4 linked regions of the Elephas maximus indicus genome follow. The protein of the gene in region 3 interacts with the protein of the main gene of each other region in a pairwise test. Links are inferred from orthologs where the notes say so. Each region holds a gene or a part of one and is shown on either strand. Other genes may lie near its edges. The genes, in order: MTA1, DLGAP2, KRT40 and SHFL.

Evidence for each region.
Region 1: the proteins of KRT40 (region 3) and MTA1 interact in binary tests that used the Homo sapiens proteins (3 or more experiments, as listed by UniProt). The two-hybrid records come from large-scale screens. The link is inferred for Elephas maximus indicus from reciprocal best matches to the Homo sapiens genes KRT40 and MTA1.
Region 2: the proteins of KRT40 (region 3) and DLGAP2 interact in a two-hybrid assay, tested with the Homo sapiens proteins (2 studies listed by BioGRID). The link is inferred for Elephas maximus indicus from reciprocal best matches to the Homo sapiens genes KRT40 and DLGAP2.
Region 4: the proteins of KRT40 (region 3) and SHFL interact in binary tests that used the Homo sapiens proteins (3 or more experiments, as listed by UniProt). The two-hybrid records come from large-scale screens. The link is inferred for Elephas maximus indicus from reciprocal best matches to the Homo sapiens genes KRT40 and SHFL.

The regions. Positions count from the first base shown.
Region 1 is NC_064828.1:119,709,821-119,717,434, forward strand, and holds the start of MTA1 (metastasis-associated protein MTA1), read left to right. Parts: upstream 1-4,610; 5' UTR 4,611-4,647; coding exon 4,648-4,675; intron 4,676-7,614. UniProt on the Homo sapiens protein: Transcriptional coregulator which can act as both a transcriptional corepressor and coactivator. Acts as a component of the histone deacetylase NuRD complex which participates in the remodeling of chromatin.
Region 2 is NC_064830.1:6,902,385-6,910,121, forward strand, and holds the start of DLGAP2 (disks large-associated protein 2), read right to left. Parts: upstream 3,010-7,737; 5' UTR 2,983-3,009; coding exon 2,965-2,982; intron 1-2,964.
Region 3 is NC_064837.1:48,073,163-48,080,100, forward strand, and holds the start of KRT40 (keratin, type I cytoskeletal 40), read right to left. Parts: upstream 3,011-6,938; coding exon 2,564-3,010; intron 1,893-2,563; coding exon 1,810-1,892; intron 1,528-1,809; coding exon 1,371-1,527; intron 572-1,370; coding exon 410-571; intron 326-409; coding exon 200-325; intron 1-199. UniProt on the Homo sapiens protein: May play a role in late hair differentiation.
Region 4 is NC_064821.1:28,232,162-28,239,093, reverse strand, and holds the start of SHFL (shiftless antiviral inhibitor of ribosomal frameshifting protein), read right to left. Parts: upstream 3,020-6,932; 5' UTR 2,778-3,019; coding exon 2,757-2,777; intron 2,298-2,756; coding exon 2,174-2,297; intron 1,993-2,173; coding exon 1,943-1,992; intron 552-1,942; coding exon 513-551; intron 335-512; coding exon 185-334; intron 1-184.

The sequences.
Region 1 (7,614 bases), on a different chromosome or scaffold from region 3:
CATTAGCTCTCACTTCTTAAAAATGATTCTCTCTTCTCTGAGACCATCTATGGAACGGCCCTACCCTCTAGACTCTCGGTATTGGCCATGCCCTCTGGTTCTAGGTGGAGGACCCTTGGCCCTGGGCTTCAGCTCCACCTTACGGGCCCACTGGGATGGCAACTCTGCTCCCTTATCTTTGGTGGGCCCACTCTCCTAGTCCATCTGAGTGGTGACCCCACCCCCTTGACCCCAATCGGCCCTGTTCCTCTGCCCCGTGGGCATGGCAGCCCCATCCCCTCAGCTTTGGCAGCAGCCGTATCCCCTGGCACACTTTAATGGCAGCCCCACACTTCAGAACTCAGTTTGTGAATATCTGACTGTTTGAAACCTAGGAGGTTGTGGCCCCACCCTTTGAGATCCAGGATTGCATGGCCCCATCCTTTGAAATCAAGAAGGCTTTGGTTCCTGTGCTCCTTCCAACAGTAATGCTGATTTCCAAGCTGATCTAGGAATGGTCCTTTTCTTTTCTTGGAGGACAACAAATGTAGCTTCTTTGGCCTTTTTCCTACCTGTAGAATTCCAAAAGGCAAACAGCATTCTTTAGTTCTTTCCCTGCCCCCTTCAGTTTAAGCTAGTGAGTTTTCTGCTGTGGTAGTTGGTTAGCTCCATCAGTCACAGGCTTAATCTCTTTAACACAAGATTGTGTAGCCACATCGTTGGTGAACATTCCAGGACACATGTCCTTAGCTTGTACAACAGAATTTTCCAAGTCTTTAAGTTCTGTTTTCATTTTGCACCATTCATTTTTAAGTCCATCTCTTTTTTTTACTATAAGTGACAAGGAGAAACTATGCAGCTCCTTTAAGATCTTGCTTAGAAATCTCATCAGACATATATCTAAGTTCATCATTTACAAGTTCTACCTTCCAACAAACATTTGAATATAATTCAGACAAATTCTTTGCCACTGCATAAAAATCATCACCCTTCCCCCATTGTCCATCATATGCTCATCATTTTCTTTTAAAGCCTCATCAGAAGCACACTTAACATTCACATTTCCATCAAAATTCTGTTGCTGGTGCCATATGTATCATCTAATTCATAGGGACTTTCTCTATAGCTCTTCTCACTTCCTGCCGAGCCCTCACCAGAATTGCCTTTCATGTCCATAATTCTACCAACGGTCTCTTAAAGGCAACCTAGGCTTTTACTATCAGTCACGTTAAAACTTTTCCAGCCTCTACCCATTACTCAATTCTGAAACCGCTTCCACATTTTAGGTATCAGAGTGGCACCCTACTCTCCTGGAACCAAATTCTTACTTATCTACTGCTATTATAACAGAAAGATGAATAACTTTAACAAACAGAAGTTTATTTTCTCACAGTTTAGAAGGCTAGAAGTTTGAATTCAGGGTACTGGCTCTAGGAGAAGTCTTTCTCTGTCAACTCTGAAGGAAGGTCCTTGTCTCTTCTGAGCTTCTGCTCCTGGGCAGTCTTCATGTAGCTTGGCATCTCTCTTCTCCCATCTCCACTTTTCACATGCTTGTTTAACCTCTTTTAGATCTCAAGAGATTAACTCAAAATACACACTACACTAATCCTGATTAACATAAGAAATACAACCCATTCCCAAATGGGATTATCATCACAGGCATGTTGTTGTTGTTAGGTGCCATCAAGTTGGTTCCAACTCATAGTGACCCTATGTACAACAGAACGAAACACTGCCCAATCCTGTGCCATCCTCACCATCATTGTTAAGCTTCAGCCAATTGTTGCAGCCACTGTGTCAGCCCATCTCATTGAGGGCCTTCCTCTTTTCACTGACCCTCCTTTTTATCAAGCATGATGTGAGACATAGTCTCGCCATCCCTGCTTCTAAGGAGTATTCGGGTCATACTTTTTCCAAGACAGATTTGTTTGTTCTTTTGGCAGTCCATGGTATGTATGTTCAATATTCTTTCCCAACACCACAACTCAAAGGGGTCAATTCTTCGGTCTTCCATATTCATCGTCCAGCTTTCTCATGCAAACCACAGGCATAGAGTTTAGGGCTTAGGACGCATATTTTTGAGGGACACAGTTCAGTCTCTGACATAGCCAGAGCCACTTTCCCAATCCTTGCTAGAATCTTCTGTGTCTTCGGCACCTTTCGTTCATGGCATGAGTTGTCCTCTGTGCCAGTAGCTCACCTGGACATTCATGGCATGAGTTGCTCCTCTGTGCCAATAGCTCACCTGGACATTCATGGCATGAGTTGCTCCTCTGTGCCAATAGCTCACCTTTCGTTCATGGCATGAGTTGCTCCTCTGTGCCAATAGCTCACCTTTCGTTCATGGCATGAGTTGCTCCTCTGTGCCAATAGCTCACCTGGACATTCATGGCATGAGTTGCTCCTCTGTGCCGCTAGCTCACCTGGACGCTTTTTTTGCTAGTCCTGACTTTTGATTACTTTGTTAGGTGTTAGGGGAAAGACATTTTATGCTGCAGCTTTGCTGACTAGAGGGGACGACTCCTTCTTTCACTGGTTTTGGAAACTTTGCCTATATATTATCGTCCCCTTCTGTGAAGTCCCTGGGTTGTGCAAATGGCGAATGCACTGACCTACCAACTGAAAGGTTGGAGGTTCGAGTCCACCCAGAGTTGAGGAAAGGCCTGGCGATCCGCTTCTGAGAGGTAACAGACTTGAAAACCCTGTGGTGCTCATCTCTACTCTGACGCACATGGGGTCCTCAGGAGTTGGGAGGCAACTGGCCTTCTCCTGCACCTAAGCTTCTCTTTCTTTTCTAGTCCCTTCCATCACAACCAAACGTAACCTCGACCCTGGTATCTGAAAGGAAGGGTCCCTCTCCCCCCGCCACTGTCCTTCCAGCTATGCTTCTTGGAGAACTGGTTGTCCTGCAATCCCTACTAGCCCCCCCTGACTGGGTCCAGTCTGGCCCCCTCGAGCCACCAAGACAGCCCTTGTAGCCAAGGCATCGATGAAGCCCCATTGCTCACTGTGGTGTTCCCCTTTCTGGTTTGCCTGGCCACTCCATGGCACATGATGCTTTGACCAGCTCCCTCCTTGGGAACCCCTTCCTGGCTGTCATTCCAGCCCACTCTGGCTCCCTTCGCACCTCACTGGCTCCTTCTGTACAGAACTTTCCGTGGTGGGGGCCCTCAGCGCTCTGCCCCAGGCCCCTTCTCATCCCCGCTCTGTCCTTGGGATCTTAGCACGACCACGGCCCTTGACCATGTCCCTCCCATCCCTTCCTGAACCAGCTCCCTCCTGAGTACCCCCGCCGCCCCAAGGCCTCCATTGGATGTCCCATAAGGATGTTCCTGCTCCCAAAGCCCTCACACAGCTGGGTGAATGGGGTAATAACACTTGTTGCTCCAGCTGCCCACCTGGAGCCACTCCTAACTCTCTTTATCCCTCTCTGACGCTGATGCTGGTCCGGGCTGGGACTCGCCCAGTCTGAGCTGCTGCCTTGGCCATCTCATGCTTCTCACTGCTGGTGGTATCTGGGCCACGGGATTCTCTATTCTCCCCAAACCTTAGCAAGTAAGCACAAAAACAAATACACGGTTACAAATTGTGACCAGCCTTGGGGCAAAAGCTGGGTGCCTCTCTGTGGACAGTGGGATCGTCTCTCCTGGCCTGGACTCTCCTGCCTTCCCTGTTCACTGGGCGTCACACCTCCCAGCCCCACTTTGGCCCTCGTGAGTCAATGAGGCCTTCCACAGGTGAGGCTGCTGGACCCTGGCCTCAGGCAGGGCCTTCTGGAGAGTGACCTCAGGGCCTTACCCACTGCTATTCCCTGCTCCTGAGACAGGGAGCCCTCAGCTGGGATCTGTGGAGTGAGTGAGAGGCAGTATCCTCACCGCTAACATTTACCCCTTATTATGCTGCGCCAGAGGCCCAAGCTAACTGCCCTGGACCCTCAGAACAAGCCCACCGGGGGGCCTGACAGAAGAGGAAACAGAGGCCCAAGACAGTCAGGCACTGTCCACATTAAGATGGGGCTGCTGGCCGTCTAGGATGTCCAGGGAACACCACAGGGCACAGGAACGGGAAGCAGCCTGAGGGGTGGGGACACCGGCTGAGAGGTGGGGGCGCCGGCTGAGGGGCGGGGGCCCGGGATGAGAGGTGGGGGAGCCGGCTGAGGGGTGGGGGCCCGGGATGAGAGGTGGGGGAGCCGGTTGAGAGGTGGGGGCGCCGGCTGAGGGGCAGGGGCCCGGCATGAGAGGTGGGGGAGCCGGCTGAGAGGCGGGGGAGCCGGCTGAGGGGTGGGGGCGCCGGGCGAGGGGCGGGGGCGCCGGGCGAGGGGTGGGGGCGCCGGCTGAGGGGCGGGGGCGCGGCGCGCGGGGTCGGATAACGGCCCGCGCGGTGGGCGGTGGCGCCCGAGGCCCCTCCCCGCGCCGCGCCGCCGCCGGCCGCTCCTCCTCTTCCTCTCCCGCCCGCGCCGGCCTCCCGTCCCTGCGCGGCCTCGGCGGCGGCGGCGGCGGCGGTGGCGGCGGCGGCGGCGGCGGCGGCACAGCGCGGCCCCTTTAAACCGCCCGCGGCCCCCGCCCGCGCCCCCGCACCGAGCCTCCATTTCCCGGCCGCCCGCCCGCCTCCCGCCTCCCGCCCGCCCGCCCGCCCGCCCGCCGGCCTCCCGCCGCCGCCGGCGCGGACATGGCCGCCAACATGTACAGGGTCGGAGGTAAGGCCGCGCCCGGGCCCGCCGCCGCCTTTATCCCCGCGCCGCCCGCGCCCCCGCGCCCCCGCCGCCGCCCCGGCCCTGCGCCCCGATGCCGGCCCCCGCCTCGGCCCCCCACCCCGCCCGCCGGGGACCCCGGCGCCACCCCGCCCCTCCCCCACGCAGGCCCGCCGGCCGCACCCCGCCGCCCGGCACCCGAACGCCCGGCACCCCAACGCCCGCCCCCCGGCGCCCGGCACCCCTGCCCTGCCCCTCCATCTTCTCTTCGGAGTGGCCTGGCCCTCGCGCGCGTCGCCCCGGCATGTCGCCCCGGCCCGAAATGGCCCCCGGAGGCCGGGCGGCGCGCTGAGCCGGCGGGAGGCGGGGGCTCTGCCCACCTGTTGGGGGCCGAGTGGGTGGTCTGTGGGGCCCCTGCGGAGGAGGCGCGCGGAGGCGCGGGCTGGTGGCGGGGCATCTCCGGAGGCACCTGGGTCCAGGGGCTTCAGCTGGGGCCTGGGGCCTGGGGCCAGGGGCTGTGGAGCCCCTCTGGAGCACGTGGCCTTGGAGGCTCCTCGTAGGCACCCTGGGAGCAGGAGTTTTGGGGTCCCCCTGGGGCTGTGCGGGTTGGCCCATATGCTGGGATGGGAACAGGTCCCTCTCGAGGGATAGGGTGCTCATGCGCCCCAAGGCCAGCATTCCTCCCTCGGAGCCCCTGGCACAGCATAGAGTGGCCCCCGGGACACCCAGAGTTGCTTGGGCTGCGTGCTTGCGTGGGGGCCCCACAGCAGTGTCCCCTTGCAGAGCCGTCATAGCACGCGGTCACCCAGAGCTTGTCTCTGAGTTGCCCCAAACTTTTCCCTGGCTCCCACTAACGCTAGCCCGTCATGGAGACACTTTGCAAGGATTGGGGAATGGGCACAGGGTCAGGGGGTACAGCCCCCAGATCTGCCTGTCCTGTGGTTCAGTGCCAGGAGGTCCCTAGCCTGGCCTTGCCCTCGGTTGTAGGGGCTCTGTGGGATCCTGGGGGTTCCTCTGCTCACTCTTTTACAGGGAACTGAGTAGCCATGCTCAGGCCCATGCTCTTCCCTGCTTGGACCCTCGGGTACAGCATCACCCCCAGACCTGCAGCTCTCCACCCCCCAGTCCCTCAGCCTCCTCACTGTGAGGGGCTGGGTGTGGTGCCCTGCTGTGGAGGTGTGTCAGGCCTAGGCAGTGCTGGGGTGGGGGGTGAAAAGGGGATGTTCCGTCTGTCCTCACTGCCCCCCACTGGCCTGCCCCCACCTGGTCACTCTGACCCTGGGTGCCCAGGACGCTTTCTCCCTTTCGCGATGGCTCTGCTGCTGGTGACTCTGGCAGAGACAGGCGTTTGGGGGTCCCCCTGGTCCAGCCAGGCGGGCTCTGACCTTGGGCTGGTTGCTGGCCTGCCGTCCTCACCCCCATCTGTCTTCTCCCTGGAGAGGTGCTGTGTGTCACCAGAGCAGGTACCCTCCCACCAGCCGCACCACCCCCCAGAGATGGGTGCCATTGCCCCTGAATGCGTGGCTTTGGGGGAGCACCATTTGTGGCTCCCTTACTCCCCACCAGCTGGGGTCCTCCTGTGTCCTGACCAGCTCCTCACTGCCCCTGCAGGTGCCCCTCTCCCTCCTCTGGGGTAGCTCCACTTGTCGTGCCCCAGAGCCCATTGGGCCCTGCCAGTACTACCAGCTGCCCAATGGTCCTGGGCTCAATTTCCATTCCACTCACAGGGCCCAGGCTGCCTTCTGCAGAGTGGTCTTCTCAGCAGCTCAGGTTCCCAGTCTCTAGCCCCTGATTTAAGGTCTCCTTGTTGAGTGAATGAATGACATGGTGGCTGGGGGTGGAAGGCCAGGGCAGAGGCCGGGTTCGGATTCCCTTGTGCTGGGCTGGAGAGGGTGGAATCAGGGCCGTGAGGTCACCCCAGGGCCGTTGGATGCTGGCCCCCTTCACCACTGAGCAGGTGCCCCTGGCCCAGAGCCCCTGCCCTGCAGCTTCTACAGCCCTCGTGGCCTGAGCTGGCCCTACGGCTCGCCGAGGGCCGGCCCTTTGGCCTGGGGCTGTGGTGGCGCTGGTGCTTCCAGGGTGCAGAAGGCCCTGGAACGGACAGCCTAGGGGAGTTGGCCCTGTGCAGGCTTCACAGTGTGGGTCCATGGGATGTGCCCCCACCCAGGCCAGCTGGAGAGGCCACCTGCAGAATGTGGCCTCTCAGGTCAGCCCAACCTGGTCCACACCTCAGGCCCCCCCAGGCCTCAGTTTCCCCCACTTGTACGAGAGCTCTGTCTGCCCTCCTGCTGTGTCTGGTTGTGTGCGGACCTTTCTCACCTCTAGGGAGACCTCTTCCAGGGAGGCCTGCCCGACCCTCACTTACCCAGGTTGTAGGGACCCAGCCCTGGTTAGGATACAGCACAGGTTTCCCAGCAAGTCCTGGTTGGGGCCTCCCATCCCTATGTCTGACCCTGGCCTAGCACCTGGTGTGGGCTTGCAGAGTGACCGGGCAGTGCCATGGGGGTGGGCGTGGATCCCCCAGCCATGAGATGATTGGGCCCTCCCTGAGTAAGGGGCTTTTTTTTCCCTTTATTTGTAGACGACAAAGCCGGTAGGTTAGGGTTCCTATCCCTTAATATGGAGCACTGCGCCCCGGCCATGCCCTCAGGATGCTATGGTGCCACAGATGTGCTGTGCCTCACTCTCGGTGGCCATGCCAGGCCCCTGGGGTGTCCGGCTGAAGCCTGATGAAGGCCCTGTGGCCCTCAGGGCCTGGATGAGGGGCCTGGGTCCCATACCCTACCCTCCCAGGAGCCCCCCGAGTCAGTCCAGTGGTTGTCCCACACCCAAGGGTGCCCTGAGGTCCGCCTTGTCACTGCCCCACGTTCAAATGGCACTCCAAAACTGCTGATCCCTCCCGAGCCTGCTTGGCAGCTCCCAGAGAACCATGCTTGTGGACTGGG
Region 2 (7,737 bases), on a different chromosome or scaffold from region 3:
AAAAAAATCCCACAGTTACAGAACTCATGACATTTGAGATGGTTTCTGAAGGGACAGTAGGAAAGGGTAATGTGATTTAGGCTGGGACTATCTTCTAACCACTGTCTTTCATTAGGTCCATAATTCTCACAGCCCAGATGTGCTTGAGCAGATAGTATTCCCTATAGTCCACTAGTCATATTGCCAGATGTGGGGTATAAAATATTCTAATTTGTTCTCTTCCAAGCCATGAAAAAAAATCACACCATCTAAAAGGAAATGGTACATACACTCTACAATTATTATTACAGCCAAAGCTGTGAGTCACCCAGCCGCCTGCACAAGACAATTTGGCTACTGGAAAATCCTGATTAATGACATTTTTTTAAACACCAGAGTAACAACCTGACCTGCCAAAATTAACATTTTTTCATCCTTTCACCATTTTTGCCTTGGTTACCTATTTAGCTGTCTCAGAGAATGGGAAGTAAAATGAAAACTGAGTTGTAGTGCACATTAACCTCAACTCTACATGATGTTCCTTCCAAAAAGGGTTAAAGGGTTTCTGTTTTGTCACCTTGGAGGCACGTGAAAAAGAGATCCTTTTGAATATGCTATCTGGACTCCCTCAGGCTATGTGACATATCAAGTCATCTTCTAATTACAAATACAATATACCACCTACAGACAAGTTCTTGTTTTTGTTGTGTGTCCTCCAGTCACTGGGACTCATAGCAACCTTAACAGGACAGAGTAGAACTGCCCCATAGGGTTTCCTAGGCTGAAATCTTTAAATGAGCAGATTGCCAGGTCTTTTCTCCAGGAGAACCATCGATGGGTTTGAACTGATAACCTTTCCGTTAGCAGCCCAGTGCTTAACCACTGCACCACCAGAGCTCATCTAGAAACAAGAATCTTCTTGAAATCACACATTACTAAAGTCCATGAGTTCCAATCAGATACACTGTTCCATGACGATACAGGGGGAGCTGGTTACTGTTAGTAAAAATCCAAGGCCACCAAGGACGTATTTCCTCAAGGAAGTCCTTTTCTTAAGTACCTCATCTGAGTCCTCCTGCCTCCAAGTCCCCAGATGACAGGAAAAGCAGTTATGCTTTGTATTTCAAGCTCTAAAAACACCCACAGTCCGTGCTGGCATAGTTAATAAACACAGAGGATGAATTCACTGCCGATCGCTTTATTTTTAATCAATACAAGACAGCTGCCACGGATAAGTCATGAATTTAGAATTCGAAGCCCTTGCCCAAATCGCCATGCATTTGAGAGACGCAAAGCACAGGAAGCTGGAATAAAAATTACCTAAGAAGTGTGGAAGAGCCAAAAGGAAGATGCCTTTTAGTTCCCGATGGGAAATAAAACCAGCCAACACGTTTTCTAGTCCCCACCGTGACCGTATTCTCTTTCTCCTACTCTACCTGCGAACCTCTCCTGATCTCTCTAAAGCTCTCGGCCTTTCCGCACCCCTCCCCACCTCTTCGAACTCCATCTCCCAGAGTCCGCCCACCCTCTCCCCAGATCCCCAAGTCCAGCTGTGCTCGGAACCCCCTCGGTAGAGAATATCCCGGGCGAGGAAGGAGGGGTAGAAGGGGAAAGAGGTGCCGCCCCCCACACCAGGCACACCTGGCCCGCGATAGCAAGAGACCTTCCCTTCCGCCCCCCACCCCCTCACAGCGCCAGGGCTGTAATAATTACATCCTCATTATTTCTCCTGCAATCGTTAGCGAACAAGCCCAGAGAACAGCAACAGCCGCTGCCGGGGGAGGCTTAGTTACAGAAGCCTGCGCTGGGTAGCGCCTCGCATAGCAACCACCCTTAAAAAAAACCCCGTGCTCCTCGCTCACACTTGGAAAGCCGGGCGGCTGCCACCCCCTCCAGGCGCACACCCGCGCGCATCCCCTGAGGTCCCCCTCCCCGCCCCAGGCGACCACCAGGCAGCACTCGCCTCCTTCCCCGCTCCCCTCCGCCCCAGCAGGACCACACGCGCAGCCCGGGCTCCCAGCAGGTTTCTTTCCTTCCCAGTCCCCGTCGGCGCTTCCCCTGCTCAGCCCAGCCTGCGGTGGGGGTGGGGGTCCGTGTTGGGAGAGGGGATTTTTCTGGAAATGCTAACCGCCGCCCCCCACCCCATCCCCTCGCGGCCACCCCCAGCGGTGCCAGGTTTGAGGACCCCTCGCTCTCCAACTACCCCTCGGGCTGCGCTTCCTTACTGGCATCTGCCCGCCGGTTCCCTCCAACCCGCCGGGCTACAGCTGCGGGTTTCACACCTCGGGCAGCGCCCCGCTCCCCGCGCCCGGTTCCCGCCAGCCTCAGGAGCCCAGAGTCCAGGAGACCCCCCCCCCCCCGAGCACCGCCAGCTAGTGCGCAACCGGGCGCGATGCGGGAGATGGTGCGCCCCCGGCCCCAGCGCCTGAGTCCTCCCGGGGCTCCCGAGGCTCCCTGTGGCCACCAAGCTGCCTTTGGGGTCCCACCACTGCCCGGCACCCGCGGCTTCGCTCCCGGCACCCGGGGCTCCCCGCGCCGCCGACGCGCTCCCCGGATGGCGTTCGCGGACCCGCGCTGCCGGGCCGCTCCGGGGTCTCCCTGGCCCAACTCCAGCACTGGAGAGCTCGTGCGTGGCAGAGTGGACCGCCCGCCCCCGAAGCGGCCAGGGCGCCCTGCGCCGACGCCCCCAGAAGTGGCAGATGACGCCCCCACCTCCCTCCCTAGCCTGCACACACCGCCCCCAGCTCCCCGCGCCGAAGCCTCCCCTCGGAGGGGCTTCCAACGGGTCGTGCAGACTTTACTGCCCCCAAGCCACACCAAACCATGTCTGCTCCCGGTAGAAAGTCCCCGACATGCCCTAGACTGTCACCCAGGCACCGGCGACAGCGGCACCACGACCCCGCGCCGCCTCGACGGCACTCAGCAGCCCTTACACTTCCCTCTCCCCAGGTTCCGGGGGCCTCTCCGGGAGCCAGCGGTCCTTACCTTTCTCAGCGCTGACATTCTCAGGCACTACTGTTTCAGCAGGTGCTGGGTGACATGGCGAGGTGGCGACCCCTCTAGCCAGGCGAGCAGGCAAAGGCGCGCGGCCGCGTGCTGTACGGGCTCCGGCTCCGGCTCGCGCTCGGGCTCCGGCTCGCGCTCGGGCGCCGCGGTGCAGGTGCTGAGCGCCGTCCGGCTCTGCCGCCGCCGCCGCCGCGCTGTGCAAGCCGCACTCGGAGCCTGGCGCACGGGTTCTCACGGTCGGCGCCTGCGCACACCCGCGCCCGGGGAGGCATCGGCGCACTGGGGGGGCCGGCCCGCGCCGGGCTCCATCTAGAGAAGGTCCGGAGCCATTCCCTCTCGCTGCTTTGAAACTGTAGCGCAAAAGCTGCGGCTTCGCTACCCCAACCTGCTTTGGCTACTGAGCATGCCCGGTTCTAGTGCGGAAACCCCCAGAGGAGCGTTCAAAGAGAAGCTTTTTTGCAGGAGCCGCCGTGTGGAAAGCGGCAGCGCTTCCAATCCAACCAACTGTTGCACGGGGAAGCGGGACGGGTCACCCGGGGACAGAGAGGGAAGAGGCGGCTCCCCGAGAACATGCCAGCATCACTGGTCCGGAGCTTCAATGCTACATGCGCTACGGGTTTTAAAAGCGTTTTGGAAAGTTAGCACTAGAATACTATAAGCACACACCTCAACATATGGGAATGTCCAGCCCACTCCGGACTAAGGGACGCGCTAGCGCATTCATGTGTGGGATTAATTTACAATTTAAAGTCTGCTCAATACCCAAGATGCTCACTTGGCGGAGAGAGGAGAGGACCACTGAAGATACGAGAGAAGGTATTTCTTTGCAAGGGAATTTCGCTGCAAGGTTACTGCTGCGGCTGGAAAATATCCTGTTACTGTGAGCGTTGCAAAACCGAGACTCTCGCTATTTCCATGGGCGTACTTTCCCGTGGAAACCCTGGTGGTTAAGTGCTTCGGCTGCTAACCAAAGGGTCGAAATTTGCCGGTGCTGTCTGTCCCGGGAAGAAGGAATCCATCAGTGGCGACCGCTAATCTCATGAACAGCATTATCTTTATTAATTATATTTATATAATTTTATCTATTTGCTTGTCTGTAAACCTGGGTTGAAAGGCAGTGAGCACCATTAGATGAGGTCCTGCCACCTTCGTGGGGTGACTATTGGCAGCGTATAAATGACCCGAGTGAAAGAATAAACAGAAAAACCAAACCCAGTGCCGTCGAGTCCATTCCGACTCACAGCGACCCTATAGGACAAAGCAGAACTGCCCCCATGGAGTTCCCGAGGAGCGCCTGGCGGACGTTTTGGTTAGCAGCTGTGGCACTTAACCACTAGGCCACCAGGGTTTCCAAGTGAAAAAATAAGGAAGAAAAATTAAATCAGTTGTGTTCAAAATCTGTAGCGGTCTGGAAACTTTAACAACACTGGGCATATTTTGATAGGTCCTAGTTAAATAGGTGGGAATATGCTTCTGAGATCTGACTTGATGGTAGCAACGCAAAGTTATTATGGCCTACAGGGAAACAAAGTATACTGATACTCAGAGACCCCTTTTTTTTTTTAATTCCTAGTTGTATCAGGCAGTTACCTTAGGCCAGTCTTTAATGTAGAGATAATAATAGATTTTTTTCATATCCCTAGCTGAGTTGTTGTGAAGTCAAAATGAGATAAGTTACACGAAAGCAATTATACAAAGTAAAAACACCAAGATGAAAGCTTACAGAAAAATGGATAGGAGTTAGAATAGAAGTGAATCAGATGATGAAAATACTTGGAATGGGATAAACCAATCTTTTCCAGAATTCCAAGGTCTTTAAACAAAAACACTACCTCCATTAGATTTCTTCATAGAAGTTATCGCTCAAATATTAATCAATTCCAGTGCATTTTCAAAGCAAAGTTTAGATGCCGATGGGTATACAAAGATGAATCAAAGAAACGTGACAACAATCTAATTTCTCCTTAGTGTTCCTTTAAAAGCATCTTCCAATTTATCTCCCCTGTGGATTTGTGTGGTCTGGAACTTGGGTGGACGATGCTTCTGGTAGACCACTGGTAGTATTTAAAGACTGGCAAAAGTGCACTGGAATTGCTGACAGGGAGGTCATTGGTGAGTTTTGCAGGAGCAGTCAAAGTGGAGGAGTACAAACGGAAGCCAGATGGACCGCAGAGTCCATTCTAGATGTCAACATGGAGACAGACTTTGGAGTCAACTCTTTCAAGAAGTTTGAGTGTTAAAGAGATAAGAAAAATAGGGCTGGAAGAGAATACAAGGTTTCTGAGAAGTTTGGCTTTCAGGTGAGAAATTCCAGAGTAGGTTTGAATGCCACTGGGGATATTGATGTAGAGAACACATTGAAAATTCGACCTCTTCAAGGACGTACGTATTTCAGCTGTGTCCCCTCTGTCTCCTGTATTATTGATTTTCTAAATATCAACTTGTTCAAGTCCTTTGATATACAAATATACTGCATGTGCATTTCTTTTTTTCTATCTTAAAACACCCTCTTTGGACCTCACATTCTCTACAGTTACTGCCCCTTTTCACTGGCCCCAGGAAAGAGTGCTCTGTACTCAATGTCTCCAGTTTCTCTTCTGCGGTTTTCTCTGTTCAGTTCCAATCAAGCCTTTGCCTGTCCCACACCAACAAAATTACTGTAATCAAGGTCACTAATGACCTCACATTGACAAATCCAATTGTCAATTATTAGTCCTCCTTTGACCTATCAACATCATTTGGAACAAATGGTCACTCCCTCCCCCACTTCTTTGACTGGCTTCAGGAAAGCACACTCCTCTCTCGTGCCTCACTGACCACTGCTTCTCATGTTCCGTATGTAGCTAGGTCTTCCCCATCTCTCCACTTTTGAAAACTTACAGTGCCTCAGGGCTGAGTCCATGGACCACTTCTCTGTCTATGCTCATTCTCTTAATGATCTCATACAGTTTCTTAGCTTTATATACTGTGTATCTCTGTCCTGGACCTTTCTCCTGAGCTGTAAAGTCATTCACATGTCTAATGAGTTTCTAAAACCTAACGTGTAGACTGTATATTGCCAACTACAGATGATCCTCCCAAAGTTTTCTCCATCTCGCTAATGCAACTCCAGCCTTCCACTTCTTAGATCAAAAACTTAGACCCATTGTATGCTTCTCTTTTTCTTTCACAGCCTGCATTTAGCCACTCAGAAAATCTCTTTGGCTTTATTTTCAAATATATCAAAAATCAGACTACCTCTTCCCAAACCTCTAATGCAACCACTCTGATTCTAGTCACCATCTTTCTTACTGCAGTGGACTTAAACTTGTTTCCCTGCTTCTTCCCACTAAAGTCTACTGTTAAGATAGTGGCTTAAGTGACTTATTTAAAATGTAATTTCAGTGGTCTTCCCAACACCCTCAAATGATTTTCCATCTCACTCCTTGGAGAAGCCAAGGTTAATGTAATACCTGTCATGATCTTTCCCCAACCCTGTCTGACTCCTTGTTTCCTCTCCCATCTCTTCCACTACCCTTCTCCTTGCTCACTGCACTCCAGTCACACTGCCCTGATTGCTATTCCCCAAACAGATATGCCAGGCAATCTCCTGAAACATTTCTAGTCCCTTCTCCTTTGAACTCTCTTTTCCTAGACATCTTTAAGGCTGGCTCCCTCACTTCCTTCAAGTCGGTGCTCAAATTACTTTCTCAATGATGCCTTCCCTCACCAGCACCATCTCCCCATTTTCTAACTCCCTTCCCTGCTTCATGTTTCTCCAAAGCACTCATTGCCATATGGCATACTATTTTTTTACTTAATTTTCTTTGTCTCCTTTCATTAGACCATTCACCGGTGTACCTCCAGTATCTAGAACAGTGCCTGACATACAGTCAATGTTTTTTTTAAAGCAATGAATTCAATAAAAAGGGGTAAATAGTGAATCGAGGTTCCAGAGAAGGTGCAATGGAATAATGCACGAGTATGTGTCTCTTTTTTTTTTTTTATGTGTGGAAGAAAGTCGCTTGGATAGAAGAGAATTATGACGGGAGAAAGAAAGGGAAGGAGTGAAGACACACGTGGCTTAGAGGGAGATTTGTGGGTGAGCAACTCCTGGTGACTCTGAGTTTCTCCTCTAAGTATAAGAAGATGATTAGGTGAGAAGGAGAAGGGAACTCTACGTTATAAGAGTGAGCCGCAGGTATGTGGAAAATAGTAGTTTAAGACAGACCTTGTGCCAAGTCCTTACTCTCCAACTCTTCTCACGTTTCCAAGTTTTCTTCTCCATAGTTTTTTTAGTCTTCTTCACACCCTAAATTCTGCTAATATTTTAGAACAAATGGTTTTGAGTAAGTACTAAGCCATCTCCTGCCCAAGCACCTACCCCTTTTCACTCTCTTGTCTTCTCTTTATACCAGTGTTTTCCAAACCTTAGGGCGCAAACAGAATAGAGAATATTCGAAGGGAATCAGTGGTAGTGAGGATACGTGTTGTTGTTTCAGAATATGTGTACTCGGCAAATGCTTTCAAAGAAAGTTTGAATGTCACCCGTTTTATACATCCACCCACTGACCCCTCCGGTTTAATTTATTTGCCCGAAAGCCAGATCTCAAAACTTTTCCCCGCTGCACTGTAGCAAAATAACTGAGCATGCGCGGTAGCGAGCTTCCAGAAGGCGGGGTTTTACGGTTCGGACCGACGGTGACTTCCAAGCCAATCTACGGCTGTAGTGCGAATGATTGACAGCCGGGTAGTAGAAATCCGGATCCGGAT
Region 3 (6,938 bases):
CCTGCTGGGGCAGTACAAGCTGCTGACCTGTCATTCCTGCTTTAGCAATGCTTGGGAAAGGCAAGGAAATGTAAGCCCTGCAAATTGGAAACCGGGCCCTTTGTCACATGAACTGTCTCTTCTTTGGGTTATGGAAGAAGGGAGAGTATCTCAAGGTCTGCTTCATCAGTGACAAAACAGTTGTCTTTCCCTTACACACCAAGTTTTGCTGGGCTTGGAGCTCAATCTCCAGAGCGTTGGCTGTGCGTTTCAGTTCTAAGATCTCCGTCTGGCAGCCTTGCAGCTGCTCTGCACTGGACAGCTGCTGCTGATTCAGCTCCTCTGTCTGAAACATAGGCACTTTTAGAGAAAGCAAATGAATGAGGCAGGGATCTGGAAGCCTGCTATTGTGTTGGCTCCAGGTGCTGACCTGAACAGCGAACCATGCTTCCACGTCTCTGCGGTTGTTGGCGAGCACTGTTTCATACTGACAACGCATCTCATCCAGGACCCTGTTGAAGTCGGTCGTGGGGGCAGTGTCTAGCTCCACACTGAGTCGGTCACCAAGCTGTCCAAGAAGCAGGTTGACCTCCTGAAAGTGGAAATAGGAATGTCACAAAGTGGTGGGGGAAAAATCAATTTGACAAAATTCTACCCCAATGGCATCCTATTTCTATTTTTTGGAACAGTGGCTGGAAGTGTGGAATTTAGATTCAGGTGGTTTGAGTTTGAATGTCTTAGCGCTACTTATAAATGCCTCAGTTTTTCATCTGAGAAGTGGATATAATAATAGTTCCTTTCCCAGAGGTATATAAGAATTAACATACATATAACTTAAACAAGTCCTGGTACATAGTAAGCTCTCAATAAATGTTAACTACTACTATCATCAAACATGTTCAAAGAGAAAACCTTCTTTGTTACATCATTCAACTTTTCATTTTCCAACCTCCGCAACATGGCATTATCATACACTTCATGTTTTATGATTTTAAGTACAGAACATTTGGAATCATGGAGAAATATTGCATGGGTATCCCCTTTTCGAAATGGACTTCATAGTCTGCGTTTATCAGTCCGATTTCATACCTCTTGGGCTGAAGCTAGGGGTGTCATAAAGCCTCCAAGGGAAACCATTTGTGGAATTACTCAACTCCTCTGCAAAAACAATGGCAAGTGAAGAGTTTGATTCCTTCATAGGGCGCTGGCCAGAGTTGTCTCATTCAGAGATACACTGAAGTGATCAGGCCGAATAACAAGTGTGCCTCGAGGAATTCTGTTCCAGCTTAAGCAACATCAATCCAGATTCAATTTATACACTTAAACATAACATCTGTCAGTTTAACCCTGTCACCATTAGGGTCCTTTAGGGATTTTGCCACTGTCCTCACCTCCTCATGGCTTTTCTTAAGGCAAAAGAGATCATCCTTCAGGGACTCCACATGGGCCTCCAGGTCAGATCTGCACAGGGTCAGCTCATCCAGGATCTTGTGCAGGCCACTGATGTCAGTCTCTACCAGCTGGCGAAGGGACAGTTCACTCTCGTACCTTTCGCAGCAAAAGAGATATAGCCAATGCTTACTCTGCTGGGTCCTGTGCAAAGTACTGGGGCTGTACTGACGAATGATACATGGACTCAAGGGAGCCACATATCATAATTTCTTTTATATCCCAAATAATTATAAAATAGAGTTTTGCGAGAATTTTTAGCTTAATAATATTACACAGAGAGACCATTTGTGCCCAGTGAGAGTGTTTATGAGAGAAAAAGAACCAGAGAGAGGAGAGAAGGAGAACCATAAATCATTTTCAAATTCAAATTAAACTTACTTTGACCTAAAGTCATCAGCAGCCAGTTTGCAGTTGTCAAGCTGTACAGCAAGTCTAGAATTCTCTGCCTTCGTGCACAAAATCTGGAAAGTAAGTTATGTAATAAATGGCTCTTTGAAAGAATACTAGGTATCTATTCATTTAATTGCGATGTAACTATCCTTTAAAATATTTATAAGAAAACATAAAATAGCTTTCATCCTGCTTTTCAAATTAACAGTGTCACTCATGAAGAAAAATTGCCAATTTAACAACAAAACAGAGAAGTAAAATGGCTCGTTTTTTACGACTATAAGACATGAACACAGTTACATTTTTCTGTCCATAGTTTGTATTATGACTGTATAGATCCCCGTCCATGATAATAGAAATTCATCAGTAAAAGAAAATGGTTACTACGTGAAATTATATAATTAAAAAGATGGCATTTCATTTTCTATGTTCAAATATACAGTGTTATATGAGAAGTAATTTCAGATATAACACAGTTTTCCCTCGTTTTATAAATGATAAAGGTAAAGCCTATACATAAGCGACTTTATTATCATCACTCAACTAATTCGTGGCAGCACTGGAGCTAGTGCTGGTGTTTCCTGACTCTTAGTCCAGTGCTCATTCTACCACAACACATTAGCTCTTGGAATCCCCTCCTCCCTTGGTTTCCTTTCATGCCTAAAATGTCCTCTTCTAGTATAAAGATAAAGCAAATCACAGGTTGGGAAAACAAAGGTATTAGGGCAATGGGTTGCCAGACCTTTTGTTGGAGATCTTCAATGGTGTCAAAGTAACACTGATAATCAGGACACACCAGTGGGATTTCCTGTTCACATTGTTCTCGTATCCTGCATTCCAGTGCTGCATTCTCCTCTTCCAGGCCACGCACCTTCTCCAGATAGGTGGTGAGTCTGTCATTCAGGAACTGCATTGTCTCCTTCTCGTTGCTGTTGAACACCCCATCCTCACAACAAGGACAGTTCCCCACCAAGCATGGAATATTACAACTCCCAGCAAAGTAGCATGGTGTGAGGCAACCAGTTGACAAGCGAGACGTGGATGGGAAGGTGGGGGTCTGGCATCTGGTTGTAGCACAGGTGTTAGGGAGACAAGTCGTTTTCATAGAACGCGTTGAAACAGATGGGTGATCAGAAGCCCTGGCACCAGACTCAGAAGAGCAGCGAGTGGGAGAACACTCAGAAGGCATCCTACTGGAAGTGAAGAACAGAGACTAGCTGTAAAACCCAAGTTACCTGACTCCAAAAGTCTTCTTCCTTTCTGAGACTTTTATATAGTCCCCCCAAGTGGGTATTTGCAGACTGCTCTGGATGTTTTCATTAACATCGTTGGTGGCAGTTTTCTTAAGAACATTTCATTAGTCTTGTTTATTTACAGAGGAGGAGTTTTATGCCTCATAAAAGAGGGATAACTCCAGGTTTCTAAATCGGGATGTACACGATTTCTGTGTGTGAGTATAATAAAATACTTGTTTCAGAAAATCTTCACGGGGGACATTGCCCTTTTGACAGAATATTGGAAGAAAGAGAACATTTGGCCATTCAATAATTACAGATATAACTGATTACAGGTAAGGATAAGAGTATTTGCACTGATTTTGATCCTGTGCATTTAATATTGTGTCTCCTTTAAAAAGAATATTGCATATCATTAAATGTCGTTTATTTTTGCCACCACCATAAAAATATTCAGTGTGATTAGCAATCTTTGCAATGGTATTTGTGATCTTGACTTCACATTTGTGTTTACAGGGTAGAGGAGTGAGGTGTGTACTTGATTTGACGTGTATGGGTGCACATGTGTATATGCGTGAACCTTCTCTCTCTAGGTGAAAATGGAAAGATCACATTACATACCTTTTTTTGCCCTTTAGGTCGAAATATAAATTGGTTATCAGGAGTTGTCATCTTTGGTTTGCTGAAACTTGCCTTCTCCACTTCTCGTGTGTCGCATGTTTGGATCAGAGATAATGTTTCTTATTTGGGAATGTTGTTGTTGTGAGCTGCTGTTGAGTTGGCTCTGACTCATGGCAACCCAATATACAACAGAAGGAAACATTGCCAGGTCCTGCACCATCTTTATGATCTTTAGTACATTTGAGTCCATTGATGTGGCCATCTTTGTGTCAGTTCATCTCACTGAGGATTTCCCACGCCTTCCCCGGCCCTTCACTTTATCAAATATGATGTCCTTCTCCAGAGATTCGCCCCTCCTGATGACATGCAAAGTAAGGTATTTGAGAATAGCTGTAGGTTACTCAGGTATTTCTAATAAGAATAAAATATAAATTCTAAGTTATAATTTTTTAGGCTCTTGAGAGATCCTTAGAATACGGCAAGAAAGCTATAGAAGACTTTTCTTTCGGTGAGATTATGGAGTCTGCTTTATCTTATTAATTTTTCTGAAGACTTCAATTTTATGAAAATTAAAAATACTGGGACTTGGAGGATAAAAATTCTACGGTGTGGGTTCCAGGCTGACAATTCTGCTGGATGAAATCCCTGGTGGAATCCCTAAGGGGATGAGACTTGAGATAAAACTTTCCTGGATCCTGTTTTGTTTTATTTTTAAATGAAACTTTATTTTTATTTTATTTTTTAGATTTCTTATTGTGCATTAGGAGAAAGCTTACAAAGCAAATTGGTTTCCCATTTGATAGTTTGTACCTGAAGTGTTCCGTGATTTGGACTCTCTTTTCAATCTTACCTCCACTATGATCCATAATCTATTCCACTGTGATTGTGGTTATCTATTTCATTTTCAAAGGTGACACAGGGAAAATTTCCTCCAGAATCTTTGAGATCCTTATAGGAAAAAGCATTAGTCTGACAAAGTTAAAAATTTCATGATCCAGAACAAACTTAATTATTTCTAATTCTGAGCACTACTTCCTAGTTAACTGATAATGGAAAAAACAAAACCAGGGGACCTTCTATAGGATGGATTAAAGTAGTCTTTTAGGATTTTTTATTCACTGGACAGAGTTGGACTTGATTTTAGTGATTCTAAAATCAAAACTTATTTTTCAAATTCTTGGAGTGATTCACGACATATTGGTGCTGTTACGCAACAGCCGTTGAGTTCAAGGATTAAAAAGCAAATTAAAAATTACAAACATCCAAGGAAATATTACAGTCCCTTACTAACCTATAGTGTTGGTGGAGAATATTGAATATACCTTGGACTGCCAGAAGAATGAACAAATCTGTCTTGGAAGAAGTACAGCCAGAGTGCTCCTTGGACGCAAGGATGGTGAGACTTTGTCTCATGTACTTTGGACATATTATCAGGAGGGACTACTCCCTGGAGAAGGACATCATGCTTGGTAAGGTAGAGGGTCAGCAAAAAAGAGGAAGACTCTTAACAAGATGGATTGACACAGTGGCTGCAATGATGGGCTCATAGTGTCTTAGTTATTTAGTGCTGCTATATTAGTTATCTATGAGTTGGAATCAACTTGACTGCAATGGTTTTGGTTTTTGGTTTGGCATATTATCTAGTGCTGCTATAACAGAAATACCACAAGTGAATGACGTTAACAAAGAGAAATTTATTCTCTCACAGTCTAGGAGGCTAGAAGTTTGAATTCAGGGCACCAGCTCTAGGGGAAGGCTTTCTCTCTCTGTTGGCTCTGGGGGAAGGTCCTTGTCATCAATCTTTCCCTGCTCTAGGAGCTTCTCAGCACAGGAACCTCAGGTCCAAAAGACACGCTCTGCTCCTGGCATTACTTTCCTGGTGGTATGAGGTCCCCGTGTCTCTCTGCTCAATTCTCTCTTTTATATCTCAAAAGAGATTGATTTAAGAAACAACCTTGTCTTGTAGAGTGAGTCCTGCCTCATTAACATAACTGCCTGTAATCCTGACTCATTAACATCATAGAGGTAGGATTTACAACACATAGGAAAAATCACATCAGATGACAAAATCGTGGACAGTCATACAATACTGGAAATCACAGCCTAGCCAAGTTGACACATATTTTGGGGGGATACAATTCAATCCATGGAACATAGCAACAATTGTGAGGATAGTGCAGGACCAGGCAATGTTTCGTTCTATTGTACATAGGATCGCTATGAGTCAGAACCGACTCGATGGCACCTAACATAATCATTAACCTAATGAGTCAAGAGAAGAGATCTTTGAAGAAAGTCCATGTCTTGATTGTTCACCATAGGGTCCACTTAATTAAAATGCAGCAATGTCATTATTTTAAAGTAACTGCAGGTAAAATAAGACATATTTCCTTCTGTCTCAATCTGATTTCTATTTGTAAAATATTGATTCCTAGTTATTATATATATATATATATATACATCATATATACACACAGGGAAAGACTATTTATTTTGGCCTTGATTAATTAGTGCTGTGTTATATGATGATCTGTATCTATAGTTTTCATCTTAGAATATGGAAATTGCCCAGCATATGTTTTATAGCTTATCATCCTCACAGTGAGGAACATTAAACCATACCAAACCAGTTGTTGTTGAGTTGGTTCCAACTCATGGCAACTCCATGTGTTGCAGAAGTAGAACTACACTCCATAGTGTTTTCAAGGCTGTGAACAGTTGGAAGCAGATCACCAGACCTTTCTCCTGGGGTACCTCTGGATGGGTTTGAACTGCCAACCTTTCAGTTAGTAGTTGAGCATTTAACCATTTGTGCCATCCAGGGACTCCATGTGAACATTGGGAATAGAGAAAAATAAATAGAAAATTTCCTTTTGTAACATACTCTTACCCCAGAATATAACACCTTCTGCTGTGATAATCATTTTTTTATTTTTATCACTTTCCACTTAGGAGGTCCAAAGTTTGATATATGACCTTCCTCAATCTGGTGCCAGTTTGCCTTTTTAGGCTCTTTCCTGTTACTCTCTTTTACAAACACCAGACTCCGACCATACCTCCAGGCTTTGCAGGTCCTGTTTCCTTGGTCTAATCCTCTTCTACTATCTCTTACCTGGATGAACTCACAAGTCAAGACTCAGCTGAAATGGCATCCAACTGCTTCACACTGAGATGGAGGCTCTTTTTATAGCAATTTGTACTTACCCCACCTAAGGCAACTGTCACATTACATTGCAATTTTTTATGCATTTTAGTGTTTAT
Region 4 (6,932 bases), on a different chromosome or scaffold from region 3:
GGGGCCAGGGCCCTGCTTCCCTCTCTGGACCTCAGGTTGAACTCTGAGGTTAAAGATCAGGGGGTCAGGGGTTTGGCTTTCTGAGGTTGATGTTCCTAGGTCAGAGGTTCGGCCATGAGGATGGGGGTCAGCCATGAGGATGGGGGTCAGCCATGAGGATGGGGGTCAGGAGTTGGATTATCACCTCCTTCCGCTGGGGCACACGACGCCACCAAACATGGTCACAGGAGGGACAGGCGAACTGCCGGTCCACAGCAGGGATCAGGTCATCCTGGGCGCGTTGGAACATACGTAGGTTGGCTTCTGTCAGCGGCAGGAGGGAGGTCGCCACTGCCTGTGGAGTGAGGGTAGGTGGGGATGAGAGAGGAGGTCACCTCTCCTCTACCAACAAACATATGTAAGCCCCCCAACATGCGTTCCCCACCCATGAGATGTCCCACCCTTCCCCATGGATGTTCCCCCTACTCCTCCCCCCCACTCACACCCTGGCCTCGCCCCAGCTGCCAACTCACCTGGATGTCCTGGTCCTGCTTCATGTCCTCTGGTGGGTCCTGGATGGAGACACCAGGGGCAGAAACAGGTTGGGGCTCAGGCCTCTTTTCCACCCTCATTTGTTGGCGGAGGAGCTCCTGCTCTGGAGTCCAGAAAGGGACGCAGGGCTCTGGCCCCCCATGAGAGTAGGGCGCCCCTTAACTCATGATGAGCTGATTGAGCAGCACCCACTTGAGAGCCAGGTGTATGACCTTGCACCTGTCATCTCAGCTATGCTCACAGCAGCCCTGAGAAGTGTGTTATCCCCATTGCTCAGATAGGGAAACTGAGGCTCAGAGCTATGAGGGGGCTTGCTGGCGATGACCCTGAGTGAGTGTGGAGCAGCAGGCCTGAATCCTGTGTTCCCTGCCTGCCAGCAGACAGACTGTGAGCACCCCATCCCCAGCACACGTTTGCTGGCATGGTGACAGGTCTGCCTCTGGGGCTGTGCTCCTTTAGCTAAGTGCTTGGGCTCTGGATTCAGACAGACCCAGGTTCAAATCCCAGCTCCACCACTTCCAGCTTTGGAACCCTGGGCCATAATGAGGGGCATCTCAGAGCTCTTAGGTGGTTAGGGTTCAAATCCCAGCTGTTTGCTGTGTGAACGTGGCAAGTGACTTCATCACTCTGTACCTCAGTGTCTTTGTCTGTAAAATGGGGAGGACACCTAATAGGCTCTATCTTGTGGGGTTGTGGGGTTGTTGTGAGATTGTAATCTGTCAACACTTATAAATCCTTCAGCCCCACATATGGGAAGTGCTCCGTCAGTGCCCCCCTTTGCTATTATTTTTATCACTCGTCAACAACTCTACGCCAGGCCTTTCAGCAGGCAAAATCCCCAGTCCACCAGCCACCAAAACCATCTTTCTAAAAGGCAAAGCAGCCAGGTCACACCTGTGCTTCAAAGCCTTTCATTCATTCACTCATTCAACACAGGGGCTCCCTGCTGCACTTCCCCTCCCCCGCCCCCAGTCTGCTCATTCGCAGCCTTTTCAGGTGCCCCTTTCTCACCTTCCAGCCTTTGCTCAGGGCATTCCCTCTTGCGTCCCCTCCGCTTCCCAGGGCTCACTCCTCTCTGTCCTTTAAGACTTGGCATTACCTCCTCCAAGAAGCCTTCCCTGATCTCTAGGGATTTCCCTTATTGACATTAATGCTGGCTCGAGCCACTGCCTACTTTTGTATCTCTCTCTCTCTGATTTAATACAACCAGCATGTATCGAGCACCTCCTGTTTGCCACCTCCCTGGCTGGACGCACAATAGAGAGGTGAATACATGAATGAAGTTGGACCAAGAGTGTGGACCGGCAGTGCCCAGTCCCTCCTGCTCCCTAGGGAGCTCTCCGTGGGTGGGTGGGGGGATCCTCTCTGTTCTCCCTCTTTACCCTGTTCTTGAGGGAAGGGGGCAGGTTACCTGGGCAGGCAGGCCATTACTCAGTTCCTGTCCATCTTTCTGCTTTACCTCTGGTGGAGAGAGAACTCGTAAGTGAAGGGCCCCTGAGGCGCTGTGGGAGTTTCAGGCCCCCAGAGCCCACTGTAGACCTTTCCCGAGGCTGGGGATCCACAGGAGGTGGTCTCAGCGTTTCTTTCCACCCTCGGCGCTCCCACACGCAGCCCTCCAGGCCCGGGACCCCCACCGGCTCACCGTACACGATGGAGCGCCCCACTCCAGTGTGGTCGCTGCCAAACTTCCTCATCAGAGCCCCTGCCTTGCGGGAGGACACCTTCCCATGAAACTTCTCCCGGAGGCGCCGGACGCTCTTCTCCAGCTTGGGCGCGGATAGAGGGGCTCCGATGGGGGAGGAGAGGCGCAAACGCCCCTCCCCCTCCCCCTGGCACCAAGCACCAGGCCTGAACTTGACCCTCGGGTTTGGCCTCTGCCCACCTCCCCCACGGCATTTCCTGGAAAAAGCCAAAGTCCCCACCGGACATTGGGGAATGGAGCGGGGAGGGACTAGGGCAAGCGTCCCAGGGTAAGGCGAGGCCGGCCAGGTAACCTCTGGCCTTCGAACCCTGACCCAGCAGCCCCCGCTTTTTCTCGGGGAGGCCGCATTTCGTTCTAGGGTATGTGGGGGATCACTCTCCTTTCCCACAGTGGCGCGCGCCGGCCAGGGGGAAGGTCTGGGCTTATGATGGGGATTCCCGGGAACTGCGAAGCCACCTCCGCACCCCCTGCCCCTTCCCGGCGTTTCTCGCGGGCCCCCGGCGCGGCCGTCGCCATCTCCTACCTCCACACCTTCCTGAGACATGGTGGCGGCGGCGCAGGTCCCCGCGAGGGTCCGCACGCAGCGCCGGCCACCCAGCTACCTGGGCGCGCCCGTCGATCCGGCGGCCGCGCAGGGCAGGGGGCGGTGCCTCGGGCCAGCCCGCCCTTCCTTCCTGGCCCCCTCTTTCGCTTTCGTTTCGGGGGGGCGGGGCGCCTTGGCTCCGCCCCTGTTCCTGCGCCCCAAACCCAGGCGGGCGCCCCTGGTCCGCGCCCTGCAGTGGAGCGCGCAGACCTCGCGTGGGGGGGGGGGGGGCGGCGCGGCCTCTGCAGTCGGTCACATGTCCCCACGCTGCGCGGGGTCCGCGTCTTCACGTCCCATGTGGGGGCGGGGCTGCATCGGAAAGCCGCTGCAAGTCTCCGCACCTCCACAGCTCGAGGGGACCCATCGGTCGTCACCTTCTTTCCTTTCCTTCCCTCTCTCTCCGGAGGAATCAGGCGCTAATTAGGACCTGGGCCTCTTGGCGCTGAGTTGCTGGACAGGCTATGACCCCTTCCTTGGACCTCAGTTTACACTTCTGTAAAATGGGGATGATGGTAGTGGCTACATTCTGGTGGGGGGTCAGGAGACCTCGGGTAGAGCACTGAGCAGCACCTGGCTTGCTGTGGGCACGCTAATAGTCTTTGAGTCGCGTACTCTGTGCCAGGTACGAAGGGGCGGGTGGGCTACGGGAGGGATACTTGTTAAAAATACAGACCCCTGACCCGTAGCAGCTCTTTGGAATCAGACTATCTGGGGCTCCGGGGCACCTGCATTGTAAATCTGAAGGTCGAGAGCCCTATGGGTCAAGACAATTCTAACCCAGCGCACAGGGGACTGGAGGAGTCCTTAAGAGGGGCTCTGGGCCAGCAGGGGGCGTCAGGGATGGTTTGTCGGAGGAGTTAAGGGTTAGCACAGAGTGCCTGAAGCTTGAGGCCTTAGCCGGTGCCTGAAGTTTGAGGCTGCTCTGTGAATTGCAGGCTGTTTAGCAGCATCCCCGGTCTCTACCCACTTGATGCCAGTAGCATCCTGCCCCAATTGTGACAATCAAAAATGTGTTCAAGCATTGCTAAATGTCCCCTGGAGTGCAAAATTACGTTAGGGTAAACGGCTCCAATTTTTTTTCCCCCCATTTGTACACCCTATCAGGAAAAAGAAAAAGTCCCCGGGTGGTGCAGACTGTTGGGGCTAGTCTCCTAGCCTAAGGGTTAGTAGTTTGAACCTACCCAGCAGCACTGAGGAAGAAAGGGTTGGCAATACGCTTCCATAAAGATTACAGCCAAGACAAATCTATAGAGCAGTTCTACTCTGTAGCACATGGGGTCACCATTAGTTGGAATCCACTCGACGGCATCAAGTGTTGTTTTTTTAAATCAATAAAAATGTCGATTCTCTGTCTCCCATATGGATACTTAATTTATAAATATGTACTAATGTTGTCGTTAGGTGCCATTGAGTCAGTTGCGACTCATAGCGACCCTGTATACAACAGAACAAAACACTGCTCGGTCCTGCACCATTCTCACAGTCGTTGTTATGCTTAAGCCCATTGTTCCAGCCACTGTGTCAGTCCATCTGATTGAGGATCTGTCTCTTTTTTGATAACCCCCTACTTTACCCAGCATGCTTTTCTTCCTCAGGGACTGGTCCCTCCTGACAACATGTCCAAAGCATGTGAGAGGTGCTCTCGCCATCCTTGCTTCTAAGGAGCATTGTGGTTGTACTAATAAATTCTGTATATTAGAAAAAAATGGAGATTTAAGAGTATACGTGTTCTAATGTCTTCTACTTGAACACCAAAAGTTGGTTTGTAGAGTGTGTGCTTCCCACTCTGAAAGCTACCCTGTTAACAATTGCAAGCAATTCATGGTTCTTAGTAGCTGAATAGGATCAGGGAAGACCAACACCACCACCACCACTGCCGTCGAGTCGATTCCGACTCATAGCAACCCTATAGGACAGAGTAGAACTGCCCTGTAGAGTTTCCAAGGAGCGCCTGGTGGATTTGAACTGCTGGAGGGGAAATGATATTTGAGGACAGACCTGAAATTATCAACAAAGCGAAGAGACAACCTACAGATAGGGAGAAAAATTTTGGAAACCATATGTCTGATGAGCGCTTAATATCCAAAATATGCAAAGAACTTGCACAATTTAACAACAAAAAGACAAACGACCCAATTAAAAAATGGGCAAAGGAATTGAACGGACGTTTACCAAAGACGATACGCAAATGGCCAACAAACACATGAAAAGATGCTCGAGGGGAAACCTGAAAGAAGGGAGGGTGGGAGCTATCTGGGAGAAGATAGTTCCAGTCAGTAGAAACAGCACGTGCAAAGGCCCTGGGGTGGGAGCATAGAACTGTTATCACCAGTTCTATTTGTTGTTTATTGCTGCACAACAAATCAACCCAAAACTTAGTGGCTTAAAACAATAAACACATGATCTTATATAGTTTTTGGGGTCAGGAGTATAGGAGTGGCTTAGCTGGGCTGTTCTGGATCAGAGTCTCTCATAAGATTGCAGCCAAGATGTTGACCAGGGCTGCAGTCATCGAAGGTTTGACTGGGATTGGAGGATCTGCTTCCAGGGTGACTCACTCACATGGCTGGCAGGCTGGTGCTGGTTGTTGGTGGGAGGGCCCAGAACAAGCATCCAAGAGACGGAAAGCCAGGTGGAAGTTTTTGTGACCTAGTCTTGGAAGTCACGTCACATTATCCCACTACATTCTACACCTTAAAAGCGAGTAACTAGATCCAGCACACATTCAATAAATAAAAATAGTTCAGGGAGAGGGAAATAAATACTCCAGCCTCTCTCTCCTCCCACCCTCCCATCTTCTGCTAGATTCTCTTATTGGCTGGACTCAACTGGAAGCCAGAGGGCAAGAGTACCCATTGGTGCAGTCAGCCTCTTAGGACACAGAGCTGAGGAGTGGGCCCCCCTCACTCTTGCCTTATTCACAACAAGTCCCCTCTTGTCTAGGTTAGGAAGGGATCTCTCCAGATTCCAGTTTCCCCTATAACAGGGATTAGGATTTTCCTGGGGTGGGAGGGGTAGGGACAAGGGAAGGTGGGTGAGAGTAGATCTGGAAAGACAAGCAGAAGATGTGACCACATTATTGAATGTTGGCATTTGTAGATCAACAACAACAACAAAAAAAAACAACAAGCATTTCCACCCATCACACGGGGGCGCTGCCTACCCACCCACAGTTCTGTCTGAGCTTTGTGACGGTCTTGGTCTGGGCAGATGTGCCTGGCTTCTGTAGTGAGCATTACTGCATTTTATCTTTTGTTTTTATAAAAGGGTGTGGGAAGGAGAAAATGGAAGCGCTGAGACCAGTGATAAGAAGTGTAGCCTCCAACACTTTAGTATAATTGAGTCAAAGGTAGAATTCATTAGATTTCTCCTTTCAGTTTTCCTCACTCATATCAAGTGGAGGCATGGTATTGGGTACGTCCAAGAATGAGACACTGTTTCTGCCCTCCTGGAGTTCATGGTCTTCGCGGGAAAGAGAAACACGAAGCAGAAGATATTGTAAGTAAATGTTTGATTATATTTGTGATATATACCAAGTGGTAGACTTGTAAGCATTTTAGGAGGTAATACATGATCAAGAACCAATGGTACTGAAGGAAGAAGTCCAAGCTGCACTGAAGGCATTGGCGAAAAACAGGGCTCTAGGAATTGACGGAATGAATACCAATTGAGACGTTTCAACAAACGAACACAGTGCTGGAGGTGCTCACTCATCTGTGCCAAGAAATTTGGAAGACAGCTGCTTGGCCAACCAACTGGAAGAGATGGATGTTTGTGTCCATTCCAAAGAAAGGTGATCCAATTAAATGCGGAAGTTATCAAACAATATCATTAATATCACACACAAGTAAAATTTTTCTGAAGATCATTCAAAAGCGGTTGCAGCAGTGTATCAACAGGGAGCTGCCAGAAGTTCAAGCTGCTTTCAGAAGAGGACGTAGAATGAGGGATATCATTGCTGATGTCAGATGGATCTTGGCTGAAAGCAGAAAATACCAGAAAAATGTTTACCTGTATTTTATTGACTATGCAAAGCATTCGACTGTGTGGATCATAACAAATTATGGATAAGATTGGGAATTGAGGAACACTTAATTGTGCACATGAGGAACCTGT